Linked DNA regions of Coturnix japonica. The protein of the gene in region 2 purifies or fractionates together with the protein of the main gene of each other region. This does not show direct contact. Links are inferred from orthologs where the notes say so. Each region holds a gene or a part of one and is shown on either strand. Other genes may lie near its edges. The genes, in order: STAT3 and RET.

Region 1 (4,449 bases), on a different chromosome or scaffold from region 2:
AGGGGATTGGGGGATTTACTGAGCATGACCTGCATGAAAAATCCCCTGCTAATCCTCACAGCGCAATAATCCTTCCCTCTGGGCCGCACCTGAGACCAAACTCTGCATTCATTCTGCTGCTGCATCCACCTCTGCTCCACTGAGGGCCACAGGTGGTGGGAATACAAGTGCCGGTGTATCTGCCATCTCCTGCCTGCACCTTCCCATCCTGCTCCTGCATTGCACAGCGCTGCACAGCCCGGGGAGCCGCAATGCTGCTGTGCTGGGGCTCAGCTCGGGCTGCAGCCCGCGCAGCGTTTGATGCAGCAGCGCTCGCTGCCCACTCCAGCGCATCCCCACGAGGGGGCAGGGCAGCCCCACGCTGCAGCCGTAGCCCCGGCCGTCCCCAAAGCAGCCGCCCCTGCAGCCAACGCTGCGGACACAAAGAGGGGGACGCCCCCTCTGCCCGACCCCCATCCTGGGGAGCAGCCCATGCGCTCCGCCGTATCCCCAGGCCGGCTGCCACCCCCCCCCCCAGCACAAGGCCCCAAAGGGTCCCGGCCCCGTCCCGGCCTCCCACGCTGGCACCGAGGTTTCCTTGACGCAAGCAGAGCGCAGCCACGCGCCGCTTGTGCCCCACGTTGGCGCAGCCGGGACCCCGCGCTCACAGCTGCCCACGCAAACCACGGCGCTCACGGAGGGGTCGGTTCCCGGAGCTGAGGGAGACGAATGGGAGACGGGGCCGCTTTAGAGCCTTTATTTTGGAGTCAAAGCCTGTAGATACAGCAATAAAATATACAAAAACATAAAAATTTGTACGGTTTTGAATGTGGCCCAGGGGCGCCATTGACGGCAGCCAGAGGCAGCGACACATCAGCACAGGGACGAGCAACAGACCTTGTGCCCTCTGAGCGCCCACTGACTGCAGGGGGCCACCGTTCTGCATCTATGGGCAGCCCCGAGACCCCTGCCCTGCCCTCACACCGTGTCCGGTGCTGCCCAGGGGCTGCCCCCAGCCCACAGCGAGGGGGCACAGGGGAATGATGCTGCCTTTGGCACTGCCTTGACTCTCTGCACAGCTGATGGACAGGGACCCCCTGCACCACAGCATTGCTATGGGTACAAACAGAGCATCTCTAGCCAGAGCACCAGAACCATTACAGCCCTGTGCCGGAGCCCAGAAGTTTCTCTGCTGGTGTTACCCACAGCTGCTGGGCCCTGCCCCATGCTCCCACCTCACTGCATGGAGATTCCTGCTGCTCTGGGGAAGCACACGACCCTCACGCTGCCGCTCCCTCCCATTTTTGCTCAGGGATGGAACAGAAACCCACGCCTGGAAAGGGCAGGAGGGCTCCCTACACTTGGGTAAATACCGAACAACCATTAGTCAGCACAGCTCCCAACCTTCCCTGACCTCCAGCGTAAGGAGTCTTACTGCCTGCAGCATCAGTGCACCTATACCTGCTGCTGCCCCTCAGGCAGATTCCTCTCCCTTCATCCACCTTCCTTCCTTCAACCCTTATCACCTCCTAACTTAACACTGACAGCCAACCTCCAACAAAGTGCCACACAAAGCGCCTGAGAAGCTGCAAACCCACTGCCTGGAACATCGCACACTGTACTACAGAGCCTGGACACCCACTGCAGGGCAGACTGGACAGCAGCAGCCCCTGCTCCCCTGCTCTGAAAGGTCTCACTTTGCTCCTGTCACAAGTCTGGCCAAGGGGCCACCGAGGGTCAGGAGCAGCCTCCTGGTCCTAGGAAGGACCCAAGATGTAGATGTGTGCTCACAAGCACACACTGCTGCCAGGATGCCTCCCTGCCCTTCCCCACTACAGCACAGGGAAAGACGTGGAGCTCAGGGCTGCTGGAACCGTGGTCTCTGCCCACAGCAGGAAGGCAGCACTAAGCACTGACACTCCCTGCTCCTGGCAGAGCACAGCAAAGCCCTCCACATCACCCTTGTGTTCCTCCACCCTGCAGCACAGAGCCACTCACACCCTCTGGGCCACAAGTGGGACAAAGGGAAAACAGAGATGAGATTCCTCTGTAGGTTCTAATGGCTGCTGGGCAGCTGCTGCACAGCACAGATCACCCGCAGGGAGACTGGGTCTGGCCGATACCCTCTCAGATCCAGACTCACTGGACTGTGGATTTCCAGACACTGGCAGTCAAGAAAGCAGCTTTCAACAGCAGGCAGCACGGCAGGGGCTGCAGAAGCATTGGTAAAAACTGAGGCTGCAATCGGAGGCTAATAGGCACTTGAATGAGCAAAACAATAATAAAAAACTGTTATGGAAGGAAATAGAAAAAGGTTCAACCCCTTCCCCCCAAAGAGGCGAACAGCACCACAGCACAGAGTGTCTGTTCGTCTGGGTAAAACAAGGAGTCGGTGGCAAGGATCACAGCCCCCAGCTCCTCTCAAGAAAAGGCCCAGAGCAAATGTGACCAAGAAGGATTTGGAGCCACGTGGGTCCTGCAGGTGCCAGCACAGCGTGTCACATTGGTGAAGAAGCACACTCCTGGGTCAGCTCCATGTCGAAGGTCAGCGACTCTGTGCAAAACGCAGGCAGGAGTTACAGGGGCTGCGCCCTGACCCGGGGTCCTGCTATCACCAGGACACCTTTGGGCGCTGGGTCCCACCAGACTCACCAAACTGGCCTCCTGCGTTGGCCTCCGCTCCCTCGCTACCATTGCCAAACTGCATGAGGGAGTCAAGGGTGCGTGGAGACATGGGCAGGTCAATGGTATTGCTGAAAGAGGTGCTGTCAGAAAGAGGAAAAAGCATCAGAGCCCGGCCAGAGCAGACACCTCCGGCCCCTCCAGCGGGCCCCAGGGCACAGTGCAGGCAGCTGGGAGCCCTCTGGAAGGCAAAGGGGCCCTCGAAGGGAGAGCGGCCCAGCAGTAGTGTGGGCAGCACACTGCCACCTGGCTCAGCTCCACTGCAGTCCCCGTCCCCTCCCCCGATACAGACAAAGCGTTTGTGGCAAGGCTGAGCTTGTGAATGTTCCCCCGAGCTTACAGATACCTCCAGGAACACTTACGGGGTGACACAGATGAACTTTGTCTTCAGGTATGGAGCAGCACCTGAATGAGAGCACAGCCTGGTCACCATCTGCAGGTGGAGGAACCCCACTCCCCTCCTCACAGCCCTGCAGACAGCCTTTGTGCACTGCCCACACCCACAGGGTCCCTAGGCCATCCTATGACCAACACGGGATCCCCTAATGGATGCAGTTTTCCATCAGAGTGCTGTCCCTGCAGCCATTCCACAGGCAGGAGCTGTGCTGGGACGCAGAAAATCAACGACTACCTGAGTCAGTGGCTTCTGAGTGTTCCTGGCTCTCAGAGCGGCAGTACTTCCCAAATGCCTCCTCTTTTGGGATGTCGGGGTACAGATACACCAGGGGAGACACCAGAATGTTGGTGGCATCCATGATTTTGTAGCCCATGATGATTTCCGCAAATGACATGCTGTTCAGCTGTTGTTTGGTGTAAGGTTCCACAGACTGGATCTGAGTCTTTCCTGTATGAGAAGACTTTAGACACAGGGCAAGACACCTGCAGTCCTAGGGCAAAGGCAGGGACATTTCTCAAGCTCCCCAGATGGGACAAAGTCACCTGGGGTTGTGCTTAACCTCACGAGGCGCCTAGCAGAGCACATGGCAGGACAGACCTGCTTCAGTGCATGTGGGTGGGGGCAGTCAGGATGCAGGGACCAGAAAAAGATGCCCAGGCTCAAAGACTTAACCAGGGACAAGAGCCATGACGACAAGCACAAATGCCTCATTAGGGGAATGAAGCCATGGTCCAAATCCCACTTTGGAGCCAGGAAGGCTGGCTGAGAAAAACAGCACACCCAGGGCAGAGGTGGAGAGCAACGTACCACTGATGTCCTTCTCCACCCATGTGAAGGTGATGCCGCCCTCCTTGCTGCTCTCACTGAAGCGCAGGAGGAAGGTTCCTGGAGGTTTGGTGCTCAGGATGGCTCGCTCCCGCTCCTTGCTGATGAACCCCATGATGTACCTGGGTGCAGGGAACAAGGCTTGGTCAGGACATGGGGGCAGGTATTCCAGAGCATGAATCCTGGCAGTTCTCTGTACACTGACAGGCAGCAGCAGGGCCTTGGCTGGCCACCGCAGAGCCAGAGTTTTGGGGATTGTCTGGGGAGTCCCAAGTGTTTTCATTCTGAACCATCAGGGCCTGGACAGAAGAAGCATTCCAGGAGAGCTCAGCTGCACCTGGAACAAGGTACTGCCTCCACAAGGACAGGACTCCTGGGTCCACAACCAAGGGTCATCAGACTGACAACAGCTGAGACTCACCCTTCATTCCACAGTGCCAGGATGTATTTTTTCACCAAGTCAATGATGTTGTCCAGCCAGACCCAGAAAGAGAAGCCTTTGCCTGCCATGTTCTCCTGAGAAAGAAAGCAGAGGGGTTGTGAATATAGCTAGAGTGGAGAACAAC
Region 2 (3,808 bases):
CTTTTGTCTAGCTCCTCTTCAATGTCACTGTAACACTGAATCTCTATCTCTACTCTTCAGAGTATTATTATTGGGCAGCTTACAGTTGTGAACTCCCTAAAGGGAAAAGCAGGAGGTCTTCTCTACTAACTTACTGGTTAAAGATCAGACAACACAGAGTCCCTAATGCTAGGATGAATAACCCTTTGCAAATGGGCATAAAGCTAGTTCTGTTGTATATAACAGGGAAGGAATGGACGATGTTGGTCTGATCCAAATTAAGGGTCCTGTATTCCTGGCAGCACTTTATAGAGTGATTGGAGCTAATGCAATTTTTCTTATACTTGAGGAAAGCTAAAACATCAAAAGATAAATATTTCCAGTAATGACAAATGTTCTCCACAATAAGGCAGGAAAACGAAATTTCAAGTGACTATGTGCAAAGTACTTTACATTACAAAGGGATTCATTAGAGCCTGAAGCATTACTGTAAATGTCAGATCAGTTTATTTAAATAAGGTGCTTAAAATAAAGGGCTACTCCATCCTACTGTCAGTTCTGCACTTAATAGCTAGGGAAAACTGAATGTTAAATCATCTGCAAGTAAAAGCAACGTTTCTACCACTATGTCTTGAAATCTTAACTCAGTCACATGTCGCTGATGACAAGGCGCTAGAAAATCAGTGACAGTGCACAAATGAGTATGAAAAGAAATAATGACTAAGAAAAACCCACTTATAGCAATACACAGGTTGTTACCTGAATGCTGCAAGAACTGCTTGACTGGTCTTCAATTCTGAACAGACTTACTTATTTTATACACATGATTAATCTCCTCTAAACCTCTTGCAGGAATGCAGGGAAGTGCTGCATAATGCATTTACTCCTTTGGTAAAATGATGGAATATGCAGCATCTTTGCTCTCCAGAAGCAGAAGATGGACTTGTATGTATATTCAGCTAAAACTATCTGTCCTGCTAAAGGAAGTGTCTTCTATCCGTAAGCCTTTCCGAAGGTTCTTGTTTTCCGTCTTTGTCCCATGTGTTCCTAGGTGCCTGTTGTGTAGGGGCTACGTGCATTTATATGTTTCAGTACACCAAACTACAGAAAAGGACTACAAACTACAGCTTTATTATCTGCTTCAGCCCTCGGTCTCTGGTGAATAAACGACTAAGAAACATGTTTAAGCATTTCCAATGACCTCTTTCCCCATCATTTTATATTTAGCAATGCTGTTATTTAGCATTAGAAATCAGGTCCAGAAGTGGTAAAAGCTGTGGTTTACAAGCCATGGATTCAGCTTCTAGCTGCAAAATACAATAATATCGAAGACTTCCTACTTCATAGACCAAACAAGCAAAATACATTCTTCATGTTTTTCTTTCAGTGTAATTTCTTTTCTTTTTTTTTTTTTTTTTACATGGGAAAGAAATAGGTATATGTGGGGCTGAAGACTGCTACAAAGAGATGGAGTCAAGAGCTCAGTGTCTCACGTTACTATCTCAGCCAAACCTAGGCATACAATTTTCCCGAGCTTTAATGTTTTATGAAGACACCAGAAGAAAGCACTAGGCTATTATATCCGGGTAGGGAGATTCACTTTGTAATTGAAAAGCAGATCAGAAAGTAGACAGAATTCTTAATTTGGAAAGTAAATAACTTAACAGGCCTATTTTCTCTTGCCATGATTATAATGTGATTTATTTTAAAACCTCTGCTAAAGAGAACCACATAAAGGTAAAAAGAAAATCAGGAAGCATTAGCAAAGCCTTGCAATATTTCCAGTAATGCCAAACAAACGCATTCACTCTGCTAAGACAGAGCCCCTGAAAATCATGAATTAAAACTGACTGTGGATGCCACTTATTTGTATCAGTGTGGTGCCAGCTGCCCTGCAGTCAGAAATCTGTCAGAATAAAGAGTCTTCTGGAAGAAATTGAGGCTACGGCACTGGCTGTTGGTAGCTGACCTTTTAGTTTCATATTAGCCCATTTTAAAATCAGTGCAGAGGCTGCAACAGTCTTCCAATAATTTCAAAATCAGAGGGGAAGGTACCTTTTAGCATTTTCACTGCCACAGTAGTATAGCCAGCTCTTCCCTTGAGTCTGAAAGCTGTTGCCTTGACAACCTTTCCAAATTCTCCTTCTCCAAGAGTCTTGCCTAGAACCAGGTTCTTCCGAGGGAATTCCCACTTTGGATCTTCCTGCAGGAAAGAAAAGGAACCCTATAAGAATGATCAAAACAGGAGTGTCTAGGTGCATCAGAATGGTCAACAGGAAAGGATTCTTCAGGAGTGGGTGCACTTTGGTGTACAGCTTTGGTTGGTCTTTGTTATTAATGAGTGCGTTGCTCCGAAAACTTCTGAACCTGTAAGTGTTTTGCAAATCTTTTATCACTGCCTCTAAATTACATCCTTCAAAAAGCCAGTGGATGATAGATCATATTTAAAAGACTTGGAAAACAGTCACACATGAAACAAAGTGATGAAAAATAAATGCTTGCTTTCAGAATAACTATGAATAAGTGATCATAGACTGCAGAGAGAAGTTCATCAATTTCACTTGCAGAATAAGAGTTCGTCAGACGCAATAGTCCTCCTCTTAGGAAACGAGTATTACTGAGCTTTACATTTGTAAGGTGGTGACAGATGTACACAACAGACTAGACAGTAAGCAGAGTGAACACCTCAGCATCGACCTTCAAACGGATCTGGTACTGCCACATATCATATAATATGGCAGTGTTTCTCTACTGCATCTTGAAAGTGATTTACCAACACAGAAGAAACCAGAGTAAAGACATGACAATCTGACTGGACAAACATTCTTAAAGTGTAGGTAAGTCTCCCATGCCAACTGATACCTATGGAATATAGGTTCATGTGGGTGTAAGAGAATCAAAACCACACCTCAACCTTTTTGCTTTTTTCTCCCTAATCTTACCCCTGCTGTGATAGTGGGGCTCATCACAGAGATTACAAAGGTGCTGATTACTAACTTACATTTAGACTATTATTTTAACAATGTTATGTTAGATGTAACAATTTAAACAATTATGTTATTTTAATAACATCAAATTACATTTATTTTAAAAATTGTAACTAATGATATGTTATATTAAAACATAACAAATCCAGAAGCCTATACTTTCCTTGTGGAGCAAATCAAATGTTTTATTCAGTTACTATCTTGAGTTCCATCCACATACTCATCACTTCTGTGTTAGTTATCTGAGTTTGATGCTTCTCTTAACGGACTGCGTTTCCAAACTGTTCTCTGCACATGTAAGCAACATTCTTTATGGACAAGGCAGATATGAGAAAGTGAGTAAAATTAAATCTGGCTTACTGGTATCTTAAAGGTGTCTACAGACACCTGGTTCTCCATGGAGTCTAAAGAAGGGCGACGGACATTAGTAGAAGAATAGCTGATGGGATATGACTGGGCTGGGCGCCGGAATGTCATTTCTGCAGAGGCAATAGGTGGTTTTGGAGAGTTCTTGTGGTAGCGATGGATGAAATATGAAGAAAGCAGCACAGAGATGATGAAGGACAACAGCACTGCCCCTGCTATCACAGTCTTGCACACTTCATCACAAAATTGCTCTGTGGACCAAGAACAATTTATTAGAACTTTGTTTGCTGTTCCCAAGTTTCAATTTGGCAGATTTGACACACGGGTATGACAGAAAAAGAACTCAAAATCATTTATAAAGTTGAAGGAAAACCTGATAGATATTTCTCGAACAAGTTTGAAAATATACCTGATGCACTTATCATTTTTTTTATTATTATTATTACTTCGGATACTGGCAGGGAATTGAATGCGTA

Evidence for each region.
Region 1: the proteins of RET (region 2) and STAT3 purify together in Homo sapiens (affinity purification with western blotting; 3 studies listed by BioGRID and IntAct, with this or other methods). This does not show direct contact. The link is inferred for Coturnix japonica from reciprocal best matches to the Homo sapiens genes RET and STAT3.

What each region holds. Positions count from the first base shown.
Region 1 is NC_029542.1:4,508,200-4,512,648, forward strand, and holds the end of STAT3 (signal transducer and activator of transcription 3), read right to left. Parts: intron 4,400-4,449; coding exon 4,305-4,399; intron 4,006-4,304; coding exon 3,866-4,005; intron 3,506-3,865; coding exon 3,290-3,505; intron 3,067-3,289; coding exon 3,024-3,066; coding exon of another isoform or gene 3,020-3,023; intron 2,745-3,019; coding exon 2,632-2,744; intron 2,534-2,631; coding exon 2,478-2,533; 3' UTR 722-2,477; downstream 1-721. UniProt on the Homo sapiens protein: Signal transducer and transcription activator that mediates cellular responses to interleukins, KITLG/SCF, LEP and other growth factors. Once activated, recruits coactivators, such as NCOA1 or MED1, to the promoter region of the target gene.
Region 2 is NC_029521.1:3,897,257-3,901,064, forward strand, and holds part of RET (proto-oncogene tyrosine-protein kinase receptor Ret), read right to left. Parts: intron 3,584-3,808; coding exon 3,327-3,583; intron 2,183-3,326; coding exon 2,035-2,182; intron 1-2,034. UniProt on the Homo sapiens protein: Receptor tyrosine-protein kinase involved in numerous cellular mechanisms including cell proliferation, neuronal navigation, cell migration, and cell differentiation in response to glia cell line-derived growth family factors (GDNF, NRTN, ARTN, PSPN and GDF15).